3 linked regions of the Mytilus edulis genome follow. The protein of the gene in region 1 interacts with the protein of each later gene in a pairwise test. Links are inferred from orthologs where the notes say so. Each region holds a gene or a part of one and is shown in the gene's direction. Other genes may lie near its edges.

Region 1 (6,953 bases):
GCAATCTAATTAAAATTAAATCCTTTAATTGCTCCTGTTCTGATATGTCGCGCATCAAGGCTTGATGCGCGACATATCAGAACAGGAGCAATTAAAGGATTTAATTTTAATTAGATTGGATATTAGGGTAACACTTCAACAATAAAACTGTAAAAATAAGATACATACTGCTGTTTAAGTCTAACAGACACATCTTCTTTCTTTGCAGTGTTGATATTAAATGCGGACATCTTTACAGTTTTCTGACTTTACGCTCCCAACTTGAATTCTGTCAGTCTGTAAAATAATAATCATCAGTTAAATTACTCATGAAGTCCTCTCTTTATTTATTTATCAGTCCAAAAAATGTAACATAAGTGTTTCTCAACAAAACACACAAAATCCTACAGTAGGAAATTTTGAAATTGTCAAGAAAGAAATTGTAAATTCAATTTCTAATGCAATTAGTTTGTAACGATAATTTTCATTGGACCTTGACAGATATTTTAAGGGGTTAGATTCCACGTTCTACCAGTCCATAACTAAGAAAGCCCCCATTTTGAAATCCGAAAAAGTAAAAATACTTTTAAGTATGTATGTTTGACAAATTTATTTTAATACATATTGTATGTGGCATTAGAATGGAGATAACTGTATTGTACTTTAAGCTTAGCCTTCGTAAAACTTGATTTTACTGTCGCAAATATCTGTTTATCTATCTATGCTCCGCATCAATAGGTAAACTCAATTCGCAACAGTAAAATCTACCTTTTAGGAAGGCCAAGCTAAAATACAGTTATCTCCTAAATACAATGCAACCACAATTGGTTTCACACTAGTCATTTTTGGGGCCCTTTATAGCTTGCTGTTCAGTGTGACAGTGAGCCTTGAGGCTTCATATAGGAGGCTGTACTTTGTCCTGTAATGGTTTACTTTTAACAGTTGTAATTCAATGGAGAGTTGTCTCATTGGCACTCATACCACATCTTCTAATATCTATTGATTTCAAATCTGAAATAGTATTTTTTCCATGTTTAAAATACTGCAAAAAATTGGGTTGATTCAATTTGAATTAAAAACAATCACTTAAATGATCCCAGACATGCTAGGGGTTCAAATTAGTTGTGGTCTGAAGTTCCGAGACGTATCAGATTTACAGTTGGACTTCCAATTTGGTTATTGGCCACACCAAATGTACTTTTGAGTTTTCAAGTTTCAGAAAGCATATTTGATGAATTTCTGTATGAAACACTTATAACTTGCAAATGTTTTATGGGTGCTTTCATTAAGATCCGCGTTCTTCATATTAACACATCTTCTTCTTCTTCTTCACATACAGAAAAACATCAACTGGTTGATGATTATTTTTTGGGGCATGCCTGGTTTAACAGTATTGTTAAAGGTTAATAATTATAAATATATTTTCTAATTTCATAGTGGTTGTAAACGTTGCTAAACCATGAGTTTGTTTCTCTTCTAATGTGGAGAAGCTTCCAGAACCTGTAAAATATTGTATAAAATACCAAACTGACTCTTATACGCATAGTGATATACACCCTTTATGCAGTCTCATACACCTTATCGCTATTCCCAGCTAACCCGGCCGCTTGAACTTTTAACGTCATTCAACAATCACTTTTCCATTGGGGCGTCAGATATTTTGTTTTATGACATCAAAATTTAATGGGAACCTGTGTGATATCTAGTAGTGGCGGACAAATAGCGATAAGGTGTATACGGGGTCTGTTCTCCGATCCCACTTATTGTTAAAGAGAATCCTGTATCTCGCTTATAGTTTAGTGAGAATCCTGTATCCTGCTTCTCGTTGCCACAATGGCGCATGTTATTTCCTGTGCCTCGCCAAGCTTTGTTTCTTGTTTTCATGCTTAAAAGGGCTCTTCACGGTTAGTTGGGCCATATTGGATAGGGGCAGATTTTCATAATGGAGGTAAAAATGGTGTGAAAAATACAGGAACACATCATTAAAACAGAGCAGTTGCTTAGAAACATGCATAAGAAATGTAAGATTTCCCACACTTTCATACTATTTCCACCTCTTTCAATAAAATCTGTCCCCTATTCAATTTGGCCGAACTAACCGTGAAGAGCCCTATTATTTGACTTTCACTTGTCACGCTTAGATAAAATCGGCCAATCTTGGTCACACTTATATAATAGACCCACCCTATATGTATGTACTTTCGAGAGATTCCGCCAATTTAGACACACCCCTTGATTGACTGCAAGGGTACAGAGGATCCATGTACACTCCCTAAGGATTAATGGAGATGTGTCCTTTACAATATTAACAATCCCTACCCAACACCGCCCAAGGGAGCCTGTAGGACACCGGGAAGTCTGTTATTATGGTGGAGGAAGCCAAAGTACTTGGAGAGAACCAACAGGCTACTCGGTGGAAACAGACAAACCAGAGAGATATCAGAAGATTGATCTCCAGGGTCAAAGTAGGGGACAATTTTCACCAACCGAGGCACCCAAAGTACCCATTTTTATAGTTTAAACTCCATTGTACCAGAGATGTGTGTGAGAGGGTGAAAATTACCCTTCTGATGTACTAATATGGGGACAAAGTCCCCAATAACGGTAGAAAAATCAATAAAAAAAAAAAAAAAAAAAAAAATCGGGAAAATTTCCTTTGTACTAATGAACTCAAAATCGTTAACTTTTTTTTCAGATCTACTTCTGTTTCCGGTCTTCTTCCGTTTCCGGTCTTGTTTGCATAAGACTTTGAATAAAATGTATATTTATCAACATATCAACAAATATAGGAAGGAACTCAACACCCAATCATTTTTAATATTTGTTTGATATGAAAAAAACGTTACCTGGATAACAGCGTTTCTTTGTTTATATTGAATATGACGTCATAACTTAAATAACGTCACAACTAAACCCCTAACAACAGAACCAACATCGGAAACGTTACGGTATTTCCGTTTCTTTTAGGCAGTGTCTGCGAGTACCCGCATGTGGGTACCAATAGTCAAATTGACATTTGTAGGCTATGCGTACCCACATCCAGTTTTATAATAAAATGTAATCAAATCGGAAATATATACAGAAATTATCGATAATATGGGGATTTCGAGTAACACGAGTGAAGCTAGGGTATGACAAATAATATTTTCGAATTTAATTTATAAGTTAATAATATATAATGAATGGTTCAACCTTGCAAATTAAATGCACATGTACTGATTGAATATGAAATATACAGTCCCTGTAAACTATAGTCCTATAATATATAATATCCGAATTTTAAGTTGCTTCCACGCCTCAGAGGCAAAATATTTGTTGATGCGGTGAAGGTTTAAATTACATTTTCGTCAAACATTTTGTTATCTATTTACGAAGCTTCAGAAATAATGTTTTAATTAGGCCTTAATTTTTCCTGTCGAACATGTTTAGAATTTTTTGCCTCCGTGAATACAGGAAAAAATTATTCTGTAAAACTTTGTAGACAAGAGTCAATGTTTGGACCTTTCATCGAACTTTACTGTTAAGTGGTGCCGTACTTTTCACAATTTTTTTTTTAATTTGAACCCCTGGATCCTGTAATCAAAGGCTACCGTTACCTAAATTTCTCCTCAAATCTTCATTTTACCGGATATCCAAGGTAAATATTTGGAAAGTCTCGCGAGAAAAATGGAGATTTTACTCTGGGTTTATAAGACGCTTAAGAGTTGAAAACGTACTTTTGTTTAAGATTAAATTGTGGGCTTAACAGCTGCTTATATCATTGTAATCCAATGCATATAAAATTTTATCAGCCTATATATTTCGCCGCTAAAAAGAATATGTAGCGCTATAAAAAGATATATTTCAGGCAAAACGTTTTTGCGACTTTGATAAACCTTAGCGACTTCCGGTACGTTTTTACTCGCAGCAATTTAGATATTGGAGGTGTTCTACTTCAAGATCACTTTTTCCAAAATGCCGCCTATTGAGAAACTTATATCTGTACAGGAAGAGAAAACAGAAGAAGAAATACAAGCAGCTAAACCAGTTATTGGAATCATATACCCTCCCCCAGAAGTAAGGAGTATCCTTTTAATGTCAACAACATATGTCTCTCACTCTTTAGAATAGAAAAAATATTAGAAAACAAAGTAAAGGTTATTATACATGTATAGTCTTTCTAAAGAAACTTGTGTAGAGGTATGTATGTTGTTTTCCTCCAGAGACAACTGTCTGTCTTGTAGTTGCACACAGAAAAAAAACAAATCCCATTATAATTTTTTTTTAAATCTTGCATAGATAAATAAGCTTAAATTATTAAGAAAGGGTATCAGGTCCATTCGCCCTACTTACATATTTGCCCTGAGTTCTTTCGCCCAGAGAGTCTGGTCGCCCTGGGATCGGTCTCTCTACTTTTATTAAAAAATATTAATATTTGATAAGGGTATTAAAGTTTAACAAACTTATTCAAATATTTATATAATGCAAGTTCTTAAAAAATCATGAAAACGCATGAAATTATCTAAAAATGATGGTGTTTTTATACCCCCGCTTTAAAAAAGGGGGGGTATACTGTTTTACCTCTGTCTGTCCGTCGTACCGTCCGTCCGTCAGTCAGTCCGTCCCATGAAACTTTCGTCACATTTTTCTCAGGAACTACACATCCACCCTTTCTGTAATTTGGTATCAACATTTACATATGTCAGCTATACCATGTGATGCGTTTTCAGATTCATCACTTGACAACTTCCTGTTTACCGAACACTTGTCTGATTTTACACATGATAGCCAAATTGAAAATTTTCGTCACATTTTTCTCAGGAACTACAATACAAGGATTTCTGAAATTTGGTTTCAGGATTTATATAAGTCAGCTATACCGTGTGATGCGTTTTCAGATTCATCACTCGACAACTTCCTGTTTACCGAACACTTCCATAGTTTTACACTATTAATATTATCCACTTGCGGCGGGGGTATCATCAGTGAGCAGTAGCTCGCAGTTTCACTTGTTTTTTTTGCATTAATCATGTTAATTAACGCTAATTGAAGGTAGTAATTTGAAGCCAAAGTTTAATGATAGTCGCCCGTTAGCATGGTTAGTAAACAATCATCAACGAAGCATAGGTATTTAGGTAAGCACATGTATAACATGTACAATAAGAGATAGTCTATGATGATGACAGAGCGATGATTACGTTTGGTTTTCCATTTGCACTTGCGTATTGAGATCTCGGGATTTTTACAAGAAAGGTCCGTCTGAGGTAACTGCATATATGGAAAACATGTTGGCGAATTGTTTGCTGGAAGCAAGCAATTAAAAAAAGTCAACTTCTTCTTAATTTTGACAAATAATAAAATTTTCTTGAGAAAAAAATATATATTTACTTAAGTTTTATAATAAAAACTATCCATTTAGTCATAAAAAACATATACATAAAAGTTTCATATGACTTTAAACATGTTCACTAACAATCAATCAATCTTGAGCAGTATATTGCTGAAGCATGTTAATACTATATTAAGATAAAATATCAGTATGCAGCTTAAATTTCACCTCTTCAATAAAATTTAACCAATGTGCTATATATTTGACTGAAAAACTCTGTGCCCCTGGTGCTTTAAAGGCTGGGGATAATATGGTTTAGCATTTTATAAATATAAAATATTATGATAAATATTCATTGATTGTCTTCAGGACAGTAGCAATAAAGTATATTGGTAAGTCATGTAATTTAGTATATTGTAAGTTAACATGCTTAAATCAAGTTTAATAGTTTACCAGCAGTATTGATACAATGTACAATAAAGTATATCATGTATATTGGTAAGACATATTAGTACATTTACATTGTTAGTTAACATGCTTAGGTCAAGTTTAATAGTTTCTTATGAGTATTAATAAAATAAAGTATAATATTGGTAAGTCATGTAAGTATTATATTGTTAGTTAACATGCAAAGATGAAGTGTAGGTGTATCAATACTCAAGAAAAGAGCATAACAGAATCTCAGTGTTCCTAAATTGGTGTATTTATACACAAGGAAGGAACAAAATAAGAATTTACTGTTCCTCTGCAAATTGGTCACAAGTTTGCTGTACTATCAGTATCTGTCTTTAAATCTCATCTCTTCACATGTAACAAAATTTTACAACATACATGTACATCTATCCCAACCATGTCACCCACACATGAATTTGTTCATGTGTTGAATCAAACTAATTTTTGTATTTATTTTAAATTAAACAATTTGTGGTTAAAATTTAGAATCTGCAACTGTGTAATTCTCATTCTGTTGAACATGTACAGTTCATACATGTATATGAGTACAAAAATTATGAAATCATTAAGTTATTGTAAAAGGCAGTTACATGAAATAAGGTTTATAGGCTAGAGTGATACACATGAAACATATTCAGTTCATATTCAATTCTTCCTCACAACATTTGAAGAAATTGTTAGTTAAGAATTTTTCAAATATTGATACTTTTGTTAATTGAAAGAATTTATTTTTATTTTACCTCTTTGATCTATATAGACCAGAATACTACACTGAATTGTAACATATATCATTTCTTTAACAAGGATTCTAAGATATTGTAGACAAGACTGCTAGCTTCGTTGCCAGAAATGGACCTGAGTTTGAGAGCAGAATCCGTCAGAATGAAATTAACAACCCTAAATTTAATTTCCTCCAACAAAATGACCCATACCATGCATATTACCAGTATAAAGTCAAAGAGTTCAAGGAGGGCAAAGGTAGATAGATTGCTGGTGTTTAAATAATACCTACTACAAGTACAAAGTCAGAGAAAACAATGGTCATGATATGGATAAGATTGTTATGTTATGATCTGCATTTACAATATATACTTTATTCTAACATGACGTCCTTCAAACGCTTTGAGTACACACCCGTGGTAAAATATGAATATATTGCCAGTGCTGTTCCGATTGTACTCCCACGTCATATGCTTTTTTCAATCGGAACTAC
Region 2 (7,782 bases), on another chromosome or scaffold:
TGACCGATTCTATTTGAACGAATTAATGTTGATGATCATTAATGACCCATCCGATAAACGGATTACCTATAACAACAGATTATGACACCAGTTGTAACCATTGATTAGCTTGGGGTGGTAAACAAAGTCATAATCTTTTCCCCAGGTAAAATTTAGTAATTAGCGTATCATATCAATACGCAAATTAATATGCAATCGATCTTCAAAAAAGGCAGGGCGCCCTGGAAACTGTAAAAAGGGCACAGGGCGCCACTCGGAAAAGGGCGGGCGCCGCGCCCTCTGAAAACGGCCTAGCTGGAACACTGTGTAACATGTATATCTTTCCCACAACTGTCAAAACCCGAAATTTGTGAGGGCCTGCTACATTTTATCAATTTTTAAACCTTCAATAAAATTCAGTGATTCAGAATCTAAAGTAGAAATTAAAACATCATAATCTGGTTTACAGTTAGATATCTGAGAACTGTCATCTTCACAATCATAAAACATCATAATCTGGTTTACAGTAAGATATAGAACTGTCATCTTCACAATCATAATCTGGTTTACAGTAAGATATAGAACTGTCATCTTCACAATCATAATCTGGTTTACAGTAAGATATAGAACTGTCATCTTCACAATCATAATCTGGTTTACAGTAAGATATCTGAGAACTGTCATCTTCACAATCATAATCTGGTTTACAGTAAGATATAGAACTGTCATCTTCACAATCATAATCTGGTTTACAGTAAGATATAGAACTGTCATCTTTACAATCATAATCTGGTTTACAGTAAGATATAGAACTGTCATCTTCACAATCATAATCTGTTTACAGTAAGATATAGAACTGTCATCTTCACAATCATAATCTGGTTTACAGTAAGATATAGAACTGTCATCTTCACAATCATAATCTGGTTTACAGTAAGATATAGAACTGTCATCTTCACAATCATAATCTGGTTTACAGTAAGATATAGAACTGTCATCTTCACAATCATAATCTGGTTTACAGTAAGATATAGAACTGTCATCTTCACAATCATAATCTGGTTTACAGTAAGATATAGAACTGTCATCTTCACAATCATAATCTGGTTTACAGTAAGATATAGAACTGTCACAATTATTGGTCCAGGATAAAAACTCTGTTGAGTCCCCTTAGGAATGTCAACCCAATTACTAAGAACAATATTTATCTAATTTACTATTTTCTGCTTGAAAAATAAGATTGACGAAGTGAAAAAAAAATGAAATGAGACACCATATGCTACAAGGGTTATTTTCGTGCATCGTTTTTCAATGTGTTTTGACATTAATTTTTATTTCTCGTTTTCTCGTGTTTGGTTCGACGTGCGTGCTTCGTGTTTCTTGTTATTTATTGTCCGTGTTTCGTATTGGTAAGTAATTTTTCGTAATTGTCCAAAAATTGACTCGATTAAAAAGTAAACCAGGACTAAATTCAAAGTTAGTCCCGAGATTGTTTTGAATTATTTGTTTCCATGATATTAATGGCTGTCAAATTATCTTCAATTATAACTATGAATACTATGAATACTTTTTTTAATCAGATGCAACTAGCGGACCGATACAAGAGTTGACCTCACCATGCCATTAATAATGACTGCATGATTCCAAAGAACGTCAGAGTAATAACTTCTCAGCCGAGAACTTTTTTCCTTAATAAATAAATAATAATAAATAAGCTTTATTTAGAGTCGGCATGGTATATAAAACATAGACAAACATAAGCTCTAATGAGCTTTTAACCGACATATGAGACATTATTTAACAGTACAACATTTATAACAATACAATACATAATATAGTACACATGCAATAACTATCACAGCACAAAAATGAAGCACTTAAAGCAGAATATAAGCATACGCTAGATATTAAGGCTAAAAACATATAAGTGTAAACTAGGCATAAAAGCTGGTAAAAATGCATAGCATAAAAATTGAAAAAATGGGATATGATCTAGATGGTAAATAAATTTGCATAATATATAAACTAAAAGTCTGCACAAACTGTGCACTTACAGTCATTTCCATTCCATGACTTTAAAATATTTTTGAACTGACTAAAATTAGCAATTTTTCTAAAATCATCAGGTAGATCATTCCATAAAACAGCAGCTGTGTATTGTAAAGAGTTCTTACCATAGGTTGTTGTTCGGACCCTGGGTATATCTACAATATTAGAATATCTAAAATTATATTTACAGTCTTTCAAAACAACTAAATCATGTAAGCATGGTGGTGACAATTTATATAAAATTTTAAAACACTCAATAGCCATGTTACGCATACGTCTTATTTTCAGTGATGGAACCTTTGCTCGTAAAAGTAGTTCATCATATGAACTAACATAGTCTTCATATATAAATCGTAAAGCCCTTTTCTGAATTTTTTCCAATTTTATTGGTGGTGTTATTTTTCTTGCAAAAATGCCATGCCAAAGGACAAAAATTAAAATTAGATAAAATAAATGTGTGGAAAATTGTCAGTTTATCCAATTTAGTAAGGTAGCAGCCAATGCGCTTTAAAACATTCAGTTGTTGGGATGCTTTACGACAAATATTTTTAATGTGGTGATTAAAATTAAGTTGATAGTCAATATCAATACCCAAAAGTTTGACAATCTCATCACAGGATATTTTTGCTGACTGTATATAAAAACAGGCTTTTTTGCAAATGTTTTATTTCCAACTGCAATGGCTTGGAATTTGTCAGGATTTGCCTGCATACAATTAAATCTGAACCAGTCAATTAAAACAGCACTTTCTCTTTCGAGTGTACATAATAAATTATCAAAATCATTGTCAGCATAAGACAGAGTATTGTCATCGGCATAGTTAAACAAGGTACCATGTTCAATAAAATAAAATATGTCGTTTATAAAAATATTAAATAATAGGGGCCCCAGGATTGAGCCTTGGGGTACCCCTTTCTGGATGTCAGCCCAACTGCTGAGTACTCCCTGAAGTTTGATTTGTTGCCTTTATTTGTTAGATAATTTTGAAGTAATTTCACTGATTTAGAAGAGAGACCGTAGGCAGATAATTTACTTAAAAGAATATCATGAGGTAAACAGTCAAAAGCTCATTGTTCGAAAGATCCATAAGAATAGCTGCCACATATATTATAATATTTACAATTTAATTTCTCGTGCTTCGTTATTCACGATTTTTAATTTACGTGCAACGAACGATGTGTGTTTTTGTTATTTCAAGTGTTTTCGTGTTCACTTCATAGCTCGATCACCTTTACCACCATCTGCTGCATATTCGGCCAACCTCCTACAAGCCTAAATAGCGTGGTCTGACATTCTGTGGATCGTTCAAAATTTATTGAGCACTTATTTTTCACATAATTTGGAGAGTACTCTTTCTTGAGATAACAGTAAATTGAGTTTAAGGTGGTATATTGTTTTATCACTTGTCCGTCCAGTCGTCGAATACTCTTCCCCTGTCTGGGATCCGTACAAAAAACATCACATCACTCAGGTTGAGCAGGTACAGCGTAAGGCAGCCAGGTTTGTCTTCAATGATTATAAAGACAGATCACCTGGTGCAGTTTCAAACTTAATTAAATCTTTGGAATGGGAAAATTTAGAAATAAAAAGAAAAAATGCTAGATTTACTATGCTGTATAAAATAAATTGGGGGTTAGTGGAAGTTCCTAAGGACAATTTAACAATATCTGATAGACGTACTAGGGGGAAACATAAATTTAGGCAAATATCTACAAATAAAGATTTCTATAAATTTTCATTTTATCCTCGCACTATTTCGGACTGGAACTCACTACCTGAAGCAATAGGTATGTCTGACACCCTGGAATCCTTCAAAAGTGGCATATCCACTCTAACACTTGAAGGATCCACAACAACTTATTAAACTACAAAGCCACTGTACATAATGTATATATGTTATTGTTAATGATTTTTCTTTGTCAAATTATTTTTAAATTAAGTCCATATGTACATAGCACACAAGTTCCGGGAAGTTTTACACTCCTACCTAGGAGTCTACTCCCGTATTCGGAAGAAGAAGATGGGTGTCTTCCTCCATCTTGGATTGTAAAAAACAGAGAATCAAAGGTCCAGATTTTCCATCAAGTTAGCAAAATTTGATGCAGGAATGCAGATGTTGAATGTACATTTTCATTTAAAAGTACCAATTTATAAGAATATAACTTCTAAATATTGATATTTTTGCAAATGTTAATTATTTTTGGTTGTTTTTTTTGGGTTTTTTAATTGGCATTTTAAGGGGAGGTAACTCTAAAAAAGTGCATTTTCTGAAGGATTCTGTATGGAATTTTCCTATTTTGTATTTTAGCTGGAAAAAACGTACGGTGACCCTATCTTTTCTTTTGATATTCTCAAAGCAGTGTCTGAAAGCTATCTTTTCCTGAAGTATTTAACAATTCTATCATTTTGTTTAGTTTCTAATCACAAAATGGTATTTTTTCCTGTATAATCCATACAAAATGTGTCATTTTGTCCCGTCCTGTAGCTTGAGAAAATGCGCGGTGACCTATCATTTTTATTATATTTTTCAACATGTATCAATAGATACAACGTTTTGGCAAAGTATGAACAAATTCTATCATTTTTATTTTAGACTCCCATACCACCTTAAGATTTTATTGGATGTTGCAAGATAAATGGTTCGTTCTTTGTAACGGTGAAATATTAATACATATTGGGTCTTTAGTTATATGTGACTCCGCATTTTACTGTACCCATAAAAGCGTTCCTTCAACATTGCACTGGTTTTCTATTTTCATTTGCTATGCTCTTCTATATACAAGGGTACGGCAACCAGTAAATCGTCAGAAAAGCGTTGTTTTGCAAATAATTGTACATGTGGAAATAATAGCCGGTAAACGGCACAGTGTTCCTCGTCAGGTATTAATGAGATGTAAAGACATGTGTGTTTGTAAATAACATATTTAAATGTCCCATTGACAATCATCCCAATGGCAATGACCATGAAGACAGGCACTTCGCCCCTTGAACTTGTTTCATGCGATGCATTTATTTTTTCTATTTCTTTCCTTCTAACTTCGATCTGATACTAGAAAATGCATAGCTATATACAAGAATCCGTTTAAAATTATTTTTCAATAAAAGGTCAGTTTAACTGTTCTACTACAACAAGATGGAACACAGTTCTACTACAATAAGTCATTATAAGATGGAATGTCAGATTAGTATTTTTTGTGCCTTTTGTCAGTTTTTGGGAATGCCGAATGGTTAATTCTTTTAATCACCGGTGGAATCAGACCGCCTCATTGACGGTGGTCTCCTGGTAGCATAAAAAATTGAGAATGGAATTGCTTAATGGAAAATATGTCAAAATGTTCTGACAATGCAGCGAGAAACTTCACCCCGTTAGGCCAATTAAAATTAATTGATAGATTTTCATCCCCGCCCGCCCCTTTGAAATCGTTCAGCCCCCGATTTTTTTTATTTAGGAAAAATTACGATTTCCAGATTTTGTTCATGTCCATTATCAGTAAACATCGATAATTTTGTTTCATTTAAAACTTCCTGTTTCAAATTTCGTTTTTTTTTTCAAACGAAAATGATTAAGTCGACATATTCTGCAGCTCTATGATGTCAACATCATGTACCGAGAATAGAGATAGATTACAAGAAGGGCATGAAATATTCGAGTTTACACGAGTTTAACGCTGTGTCCAAGAACGCAAATCGCGGTATGTCACAAATGATTAGAAAGCCGTTTTTTTTATTTATACAATGACTTAGCTTTGTGTCAGGAAATTCGGACTATGAATTCAATGATATCGAAAGCAAAGGAATCATGGAACACATTGGTACAAAAAAACGTGTCAGGATTACAGAAATTGACACCAGAAAGAACTTGTTAGATTGATTACCACCATAAATTGAGCTAAAAAGAGGATCGAAAAACATTAATATTATAGCAATTCGTTAGATTTTAATATCCATGGCTATCGTGTTTTGTTGACAAACAGCAAACACCCTCTGATTAAACCACAACTTCTTTTTGGTTCAGTTCATGTTTTACATCATAATTGTATTTGCATCTTGCTTTAGCACCAACCCTATTACTTTCAACATTGTTGGAGTTTTCATTTAATTCTGTATTCATAATACTTGTATTGCATATATTTGTACAAGTTTGCTTAAATTTATGGGAACTTCAAACCATCGGTTAGAAAACAAAATAAATTTGGTGTAGGTATAGTCCAACTGAAGTGAGCATTAATTTTCTCCATGTTTACAAAAAACAATGATAGATAGGTTTCTAAAGTGGCATTTACATGTAAAACAGTCAATTGTGGTTGCCTATCAGAGATATAAAGAGTTTGAAAATTTATGAACGATTCCTGATACATGAGTCATACATGTATATAAACGTGATATATTAGCTTATTTTACACTTGTTTATACCCCTGCGGTATATAGAACTCGTCACTAGAGGGTTTCTTATGAAATAAAATTTAAAGAATAAAATCCTCCCACCCGCCCCATTTAAAAAAAAAATTTGGATGAAAATCTACTAATTAATTTTAGTTGGCCTTATTTGTAGCAATGCTGGGCCTCAGCTGGCCTCTAAATAAAAATGTATCCTAGTTAAGTTAAAAAGGGCATCAAACTAAACTCTGAAACATACAAATGAACCAACATTAAAAAAAAACCACAAGATTAACAAAGATCAGGTGCTCCTGCCTTGGGAGTTGCAAAAATGGGGAGGGATGAAACATGTTTGTGAGTTCTCAACCCTCCCCTAATACCTCCAGTCAATGTAGATTAAAGAAACGCACAGAAATACACAGGTTCGCCTTGAGTGCTATAATTTGTGGGTTTCAAACCATGGCTTGAGCAAACCAAATACTGCTTTTCTGCTAAGCACAGGACTTAAAGTCTTTAAGGAGTAAGAGCAAACACTGATTGTCTGGGAATCAGAATAATGAGTCTGGGTATTAAAGGTGACATGTCTTCCTGTGGACTTATACATTTTGTACCTCTTGGATGAAGAGGTTCAACTGTAAAGGTTTTAACCAAATATTATTTTAAAGTACAATCATAAACAATTAAAGAGATATATTACCAAGATTAATAAGACTAAAATTAGGATGTTGCTGCACTTTATGGGATCCTGGTGCAATTGAAGTACAGTACTGAATCTTGTGTATGTTACCATGGTTACAGAGACAATAAAACATCAGAAAAAAATGTGATTATAAGAAAAATTCTTCAACTTCTCTAAGCTTTGTAAATAAAGCTACCATATAAAGTTTTTCATAATTGTTTATTAATACATTGACATCATCCAATTATAGGTTGGTCATCTGAAATAGACCATGGATTTCCAAAACAGAGCTGGAGGAAAGACAGGGTCTGGAGGAGTAGCCTCGGCCTCTGAGTCAAACAGAGATAGAAGAGAAAGGCTACGCCAGTTAGCTTTAGAGACAATTGACTTAAATAAGGTATTTTTCTCCAATTTTTATGTGTTTAGTTTACATTAAATGTTATTATACAAGATCTAGAGCTTTGATTAATTAAAAAAAATGATTAATTTAAAAAATTTAAGTCTGTCACATGTCGTCTATATAATTAAATATTTAAACTTGTTAGATCTAAAGTTTTAGCACTAGTCTTCGATTCAGCAAGAAGTTTTTATTTGTTATAATGGATATATTTGGGGGGTAATTAATTATTATTAAGAACAGATAAGAAAACTATTTAACTATTGATCATGTTGATATTGATGTGAACCTAGTGATGAGA
Region 3 (7,796 bases), on another chromosome or scaffold:
GTATTGAAAGTAAGGTAAAGGGTTGAAATATCAAGTTTTGATATTACAGCAAAATTGTAAACAATCTGATTGAAGATTTTGCTGTAGACATTTCGAATTTTCAGGACTCCGCGTCGGATAAGGACCATTGGGAAAATATCATCACAATATTTGTGAAGGCCATCTTTTCACCAAATTACATGGAATGGTGGTGAGAACTTTAGAAAGGCGTTTAGTCGAATATATTGACGCGCGGTTTATATTTATAGTTATTTCTTGGAATTTTTGTGTGAAGTATAGTTATATAGTATAAAGACGGATGGTTCAAATAATCCTTTTATGGTTCAAAAGGGGGTAAGTGGTTTTAGTAAAGTCGACAGTGGTCTACCAATGTTTAAATCTTTGTAGAGTAAAAAAACCTCTACATACATTTAACAAGTTCGATATGCTGTATTTGAACCGTCTTATATATCCGCCAAATAATTGTATAAAGCAACACATCAATCATCATGCAGAGGTTTCATATTCCAGTCATGGGGAAAAAAATACTGCTTGCTTTCTTGATAAAAGTTATCAAAGGTATTATAATTTAGTACGCCAGACGCGCGTTTCGTCTACATAAGACTCATCAGTGACGCTCATGTCAAAATATTTATAAAGCCAAACAAGTAAAAAGTTGAAGAGTGTTCTCGATATTTAAAGTGGAGAAACTCCATTTTCAACCTATTCATATAAGAATTGTTTCCTGAGAAAGAAAAAATTATTCAGTGAAGATAATTGACACCACGCCATATGATTTATGATAGCGACTGTTCCAAATGAGAAAAACCGGTCAGTGGTGGTCGTTGGTTGCTGTCTGTCATATTTTCCCCGTTAATACATTGCCAAAGTTTCAGGTAAGTTTATTGATGGATTAAGTCGGAGTGCCCGAAAAAAAAACCCACCGACTTTCGATAGGAAACGGGCTTTTGACAAGAAAATTTCGTAATAATATCAGTTATACCGATTTTTTTCTGAACGCCTTCATATATTGAGCTGATTATCTTTGTGTGAGTCTGTTATGATGATTTACAGATCGAGATTACGTTTGGTGAAAATGGTGTCTTGAAATTTTCATTGATAAAGATATTTCTTCAAAGGGGACAGAGTTTGACCCGTGTTAACACGATTAATACCCATAAACCAAATTGAAAAAACCAGCCGAATTCTTCTTCTTCCACTTTGTTGTTCACTTGGTTTGCCAAAGAGAATCCACTCTAACATAGGCACTAGCTTAGATTTCACCATCATCACAGAATTATGTCACATCACTGGAATGGAAGTCAAGAACCACGGCATGTCATCCTATGGGGAATAGCATGACAAAACGCTTCAACCGAACACTGATCAGTAAGCTTGGTACCATTGAAACAACAAACAGTGGAAGTCGCGTGTCATTGGACTCGCCAATACATATAATTGTACTCGATAGACAACAACTTGGTTTTAACCGTACTTTTTGATTTTTGGTAGACCACCAAGATTACCAGTGGACATTTGCCTGGGTTAAGATATGAATGGCAAGAAAGAATCAGCAACGACGTATGTCGATGCCGTGTAAAAGCGACTATAGAAGGAATATGATTTAGCATCAAGATATGCATGAACAGCTTAAGATAGACAGAAGTCATTTATTAACAAAAAAGTTAGAGGTGCCATTCTACAACCATGCGACAGAGTGCTTGTCAGATAAGTAGTCACGACGGGAAACAAGATTACATACACGTGGTAAGAGGGCTCGTACCGTGTTGTTACACAGCCTAACAACGACACCCCAGTGTATTTGATTCAGAATGAAAATGGAGAGGGAAAGAAGAAAACGCTACACAGGAACTTTTACTACCTTTTTTAAAAGCTGCCGATTGATACTAGTAATAAACCGAATAGCTATATCATACAGCTGCAACAAGTTGTTTATAGGAACAGCATACAAGGAAAACAACTGACAACGTCTGAAGGCATCAAACAGACTGATGAGACAGAGTCAGATTAGGAGTCCAAAATGGAGTAGTAAATGATAGTGCCTGAGATGACTCCACAGGGTAACCGTGACAATGATGCTCCAATCAAATGTCGAAAAGAACCAAGCAACTGAGGCTCTCAACTCTACTGGTAACTCTCGTGCTATCGTTGTGGGAAGACAGGACTCTGGTTTTGGAGAGGATAGTCTAGTGTTGAGTTGAGATGTTTTGAATATTAGGAGGAAAGGAGCAGAACGTATGTTTGTTTATGTTGGGGGAGTGGTATCCATGAAAGAAAACAGTTGTGGAAAACATTTGCATAAAAGAATTTAATGTTACTTAAAGTTATATTTAATTTTAATTAAATAATGTAATAGCAATGAGGTGTCCTATATATATGACCGTTCAGTCGTCACAATCATGTCTAATTTTTGGCAACAGTAGTGTACCAATGTTCAATTCTCATAATCAATTTTAAGATGATTGATACACCAGAGTAACAAAATAAGTGAGGATATCTCATGAACCCCAAAAGGAGTGAGACTAGGGGTGCATCGACATGGTACATTAGTTTCTATATAATTTTCCTGTCATGATCATTCTAATGCCACAAATAAAAAATTAAGTAAGTAACAGAAAAAATCCTTATAACAAAAAAACTAAAAACAACATTAATTATTAATGCTGTTTGATAGAAATGAAACTGAATGCAGTCGTGAATGAAAATAGACCCCCAAAAAAACATATCCTTCAAAAAAGGAATAAAAGCGTTGTTTACTCATATGTTATAAAGAATAAAATTAAAAATATATTATTCATGGCCTATACAGTAATACCATAAAATCGTCTTATAGGGCTTGAAGAGCCTAATAATAATCGAGAAAACCTTCCAGAAGTTCAAATGCACTGGGGAAAAAAAACAATTTTATAACTATATTGATAGTATCAAGATGAATAAAAAGCAACAAACATCACTGGAAGACGTGTAAATCATGTAGGGTTTCCAAAGCTGTATCCTCAAATATATTTGCGGGAAACTCAATTTCAACGTTATGAAAAAAATGACCGTCGCCATCTTCCGCATAATTCCAGAACTTTGCTTTGCAAATATGTGCAACCGTTATAAGTTCAACAAGTAAAATACTTTGCATATGTTTCAGTTTTTGAAAACGAGAAAACATGCATTTATTGTATAACTTTTTTTTTTAACTTCTCTTTAGGATCGAACCAAATTACCCAGAACAGGTACACATCTGGTTTGTAACTAAATAAGGTTGTTATGTCAGCAATAGTTTACTTGGAAAATATGTTTATTGACTGTATGAATTACATGTATTTAATTCCACAAATAAATAAACTTATCCGTAATATTTGATAACTTGTGATCGAGTTACTAGGAAGTGAAACTTATACAAAATCAATTTGTAAACAGAAGCTGGCTGGTGGAGATTTATTTCCCCGAGGGTATCACAAGCCCAGTAGTCAGCACTTTTTGTGCTGGCATGAATTATCATTGATATTGTTATATTTATAAATTAACTGTTTACAAAATTGTGAATTTTTTTAAATAATAAGGCTTTTCTACCTCAGGCATAGATTACCTTAGCTGTATTTGGTAACACTTTTAGGAATTTTGGATCTCAATGCTCTTCAACTTTGTACTTTATTTGGCTTTTTTTTTAATTTTTGGATTCGAGCGTCACTGATGAGTCTTTTGTAGACGAAACGCGCGTCTGGCGTATATACAAAATTTAGTCCTGGTATCTATGATGAGTTTATTGACCTAAACAGCCATTATAATATTTTTGAAAAACCTGATACAGTAACTCATCAACAGAAGTTCACCAAAGTCAGCATAGAGACAGCTGTTTTGTATTTGATGCTTTTCATACGTTAAACTTCTTGAATATTTTGAAATTCACATCCATATCTTTTCTGTACACTGTCTATTCTATTTGTCTGTAAAAAGTTCTCGTTTCGTCATCAAATCATTGATTTTCTGTGCCTCTCCCTTTGAATGTGTATACCAGTGGCGGATCCAGAACTTTTCATAAGGGGGGCCCGCTGACTGACCTAAAAGGGGGGGCCGCTCCAGTCATGCTTCAGTGATTCCCTATATAATCAACCAAATTTTTCCCACGAAAGGGGGGCCGGCCCCCAGAACCTCCCCCCCCCTCCCCTGATCCGACTACGTATACTACCCGGCTGCTTGTCCGCAGTCTGTGTGTTGTTGAAATATTTTGGTTATATATTCTTGACCATGAAGATTGGCCAATACAACTTGAAACTTTGTTATTCTCTTACATCAGTATGATCAGATGGTCTTTTGGGTCAAATTATAAAATATCTAAAAAAAAAAACATGTTGATGTTGATGCGAACTGTAAGGCATAGTCAAAAGTTAACAGTCAAGTCTTCATAAAAAAAAACATTTTGACTTACAAAGTCAGAAATTTCAAAACTGGCCTTTTATCAAATACGAGATATTTCTATAGATTAGTATGGCGTGGACACTATTGCGATCAAAAGACAGTGTTCCAGTCATAGAATAAATGTGCATGCGGTGTCCAGCATTGTGCACAACCCAATACTGTCAAGGCTAAACACAGCTTTATATTTTTATTGTACAGATTGCCAATTTAAACAAAATGTGCATATTTGATTCCTGTTTTTGTTGTTTCTTGTCGGTTGTTAGTGATACTTGATTTAATCAAAGCGTTTTATGAGATGGGACGAGATTGTAGGACGAAAAAAGGCGATTCCATCAATCTTGAAATCAGTAACGCGTTTTAAGGAATTAGTTTTCAATAGGGAAACTGAAGCTATATTTTAATGAAGACGAACTATTTTCGTTTTAGCATCGACAAATTAATTTCATTTTAACGATATGGAAACACTTCTTGAGCAACAACGACGATACCATGAAGAAAGAGAACGACTTCAAGATGCAATGACCAAGGAAATGCTTCAACCTAGCAAAAATGTATGTTGGACTTATCACGTAAATTGTAATCATTTCATGTCAATGTTCAATGATGTTCCAACTTCAAGTCACCCAAATTCACCAATTTGACCCAAGAAAAACAATGTATTATTTTCAGCGAACACGAATCAGAACAATACCGTTAGTTGAATCAAATAATATATATTATCAAAAGTTAATGTTATGATAATGATTAAACTCCTTCAAAATTAAACATAAATGTATGCATATGCAAATTTAATCCTATACACCTTATCGCTATTTGTCCGCCATTGCTGGAAATCACACAGGTTCCCGTAAAATTTTGACGTCATAAAACAAAATGTCTGACGCCACAATGGAAAAGTGATTGTTGTTGACGTCAAAAGTTCAAGCGGACAGGTCAGCCGGGAATAGCGATAAGGTGTATTGCTGCTCGAGGGACACATGTGTCCACACCGAATGTACCAGACCAAGGATTTTTATAGTGTCTCACTATACAAATCCTTGACCAGACACATATAGCCATGTTTCAATTTATGAAATCTTCTCTTCATTGCTGTGTCTTTTTCACATCTACATTCTACGTTGATCTGTCAAACAATAGTTTACTTGGAAATTGTTGTCGAATGACGTCATTACTTGACATCTGAAGTCACAGATGTCGAGCTGTCATATTTTCTGGCACACAAAATGCAACCTTGAAAAACAACTGGCAGCAGAGGGTGATTTTTTTCCATTATTTGTCAATACATTTATGTTAATTGTTATACAATATAGCTTCCAGTCATGCCAGTCATTTTTATAAATTTAAAATAATGTTATTTCAGGGTAGAGAACAGATCAATTCAGACCAGCGACTTCGGCATCTACTAGATGTAAGTAATCATGTAATAAATGATAATGAATGGCAAAAAAAAATGCATCTCAGAAATTTTACAAGAAGATCAAGTTTTTATTCTGTAAAAATGATAATTAAAACATTTATTGAAACAGTTAATATAGCGAAAGCTTGTGTGCTTTTCTTATCAAATGCATAAGTTGTCATTTGTAGTGGGAATTTGCATGATGTTGTTTTACCATATGCATAGATGCCAACCATTACGATTTTTCCGTAGTTTTTCCGATTTTGCGATAAAAACTACGCTATTACGGTCAAAGTCGAATAGTTACGGATTCCCAATCATCGACGTTCAATTTTGTAAAACGCGGATTTTTATCATTACTTTTCCGTCCTGGTCCAGTATTTAGGAAACGCCAATGTAATGCTTCCGGTTTCTCGGGAGTTATCAACCTATTGTTGGGTAACTAACTGACTTCCGAAGAGGCAAACTTGCATTTTATTAAGTAGCTTTCCCCCTTTCTCTACTTCTCCTTGACAAAACAAAAATGTTTGAGTCGAGAACATCTGAACAATTAATGAATGGAATACATACTTCAGACAACATGTTAAATGACAAATTTTAGTGTGCATCACTTTGTAACCACTCGTCAGTAATTTTTATTGGTAAATGCACGTTTATGAATGATTACTGAAAACTTTTCAAAAATACGGAAAATTTGATAGTTTGTTACTGATTGTGTCAAAAGGGGGTTGGCATCTATGCCATATGGAGCTAAAATCCCACAGTTATACATTTGTATATTATACACATGTCTAGAAAAGAGTAGGCAAAACAGGCTTGTGAGGCAATTGTTTTAGATAGTTATCCCTGAGTTATGGTAAAAAAAAATGAAGAATTTGGGATGATATAATCATATTTATATTGAGTCTAAACTACATCATAAAAACTTTCATAGTCATATTTCTCTTTTGGTGTTAAATTTTAGAAAAAAACATTTTTCTGTTTTTAAATAGTTTGTATATTTGTCTTGTGCTTTAAATGAATAGTTGTAAAGTATTGTCTTATGAACATGTACAAGAAATATATATATTGCAGCTTATTTTATTTGATGAATATCATTACATTACAGAGATATGTAGAATGTACAACAGAATTAGGGGATTTGTATGAGGATAAAGATGGGTAAATATTCATAATTATAGATATATATATACATGGAGAGAGTGATAGAATTTTCTGAACATGAGATGCATGAAGTACACATTTTAAAGTTTAGTTAAATGCTTGCTAGTCGTGTTAACTGTAGACTTAAAGATTATTAATTAGTAGAATCTTATTTATGAATACACAATTGTTATGTTTAGTGACCTTCATAAAGTTTGCATGTTGTAAACTGACGGTGAAATTTTCTTTACTGTGTCTGTTGGAACATCAATTTGAAGAAATGAAAACAATACCCTGATTGGATTGATATAAAAGCAACATTTCTTCTAATAAGAATTAAGAGATGTAATGTGGTATGATTGCCAATGAGACAACTATTAACCATAGTTCAAAAAGTGGATATAAGCAATCTTGTTCTCTTATTTCATTATTTTCGCATAATAAAAAAGACACCTTTGCCTGATACTTCACATATAAAACATTTGTTCACAACAGCAGAACCATCAAAGTCTGTCTCAGTTTTGGCATGTACTGGTTGAGTTGTACACCAAGATAGTGTAGTAACTGTAGTTATTGTTCACATAGGTTCTTGAGGTCCAGTTAATATTTATTTGTTCTCTTTCCAGAATGAGAAAAGAAGAAGTACAGTCCTTATCAGGACCGAATGAGTTTTCTGAGTTCTACACTAGACTTAAGCAGCTAAGAGAATTCCACAAAAGGCATCCAAATGAGGTATGAACATTCTACATATATAAAAAAAAAAAAAAGATTTAAAAAAACAGTATCTGACATACTTGCAAATTCTATATTATTTAGACTCTCTCAATAAGTCATTTCTGGAATCATG

Evidence for each region. The genes of interacting proteins can lie anywhere in the genome.
Region 2: the proteins of splicing factor 3A subunit 1-like (region 1) and splicing factor 3A subunit 2-like interact in a two-hybrid assay, tested with the Caenorhabditis elegans proteins (2 studies listed by BioGRID). The link is inferred for Mytilus edulis from reciprocal best matches to the Caenorhabditis elegans genes prp-21 and repo-1.
Region 3: the proteins of splicing factor 3A subunit 1-like (region 1) and splicing factor 3A subunit 3-like interact in a two-hybrid assay, tested with the Caenorhabditis elegans proteins (2 studies listed by BioGRID). The link is inferred for Mytilus edulis from reciprocal best matches to the Caenorhabditis elegans genes prp-21 and prp-9.

What each region holds. Positions count from the first base shown.
Region 1 is NC_092346.1:97,751,148-97,758,100, reverse strand, and holds the start of splicing factor 3A subunit 1-like, read left to right. Parts: upstream 1-3,839; 5' UTR 3,840-3,933; coding exon 3,934-4,042; intron 4,043-6,553; coding exon 6,554-6,718; intron 6,719-6,953. Other genes in the region: zinc finger B-box domain-containing protein 1-like, read right to left, coding at 169-230.
Region 2 is NC_092350.1:35,651,559-35,659,340, reverse strand, and holds the start of splicing factor 3A subunit 2-like, read left to right. Parts: upstream 1-4,763; 5' UTR 4,764-4,908; intron 4,909-7,334; 5' UTR 7,335-7,355; coding exon 7,356-7,481; intron 7,482-7,782.
Region 3 is NC_092353.1:19,794,448-19,802,243, forward strand, and holds the start of splicing factor 3A subunit 3-like, read left to right. Parts: upstream 1-4,777; 5' UTR 4,778-4,865; coding exon 4,866-4,961; intron 4,962-5,770; coding exon 5,771-5,818; intron 5,819-6,914; coding exon 6,915-6,967; intron 6,968-7,575; coding exon 7,576-7,681; intron 7,682-7,796.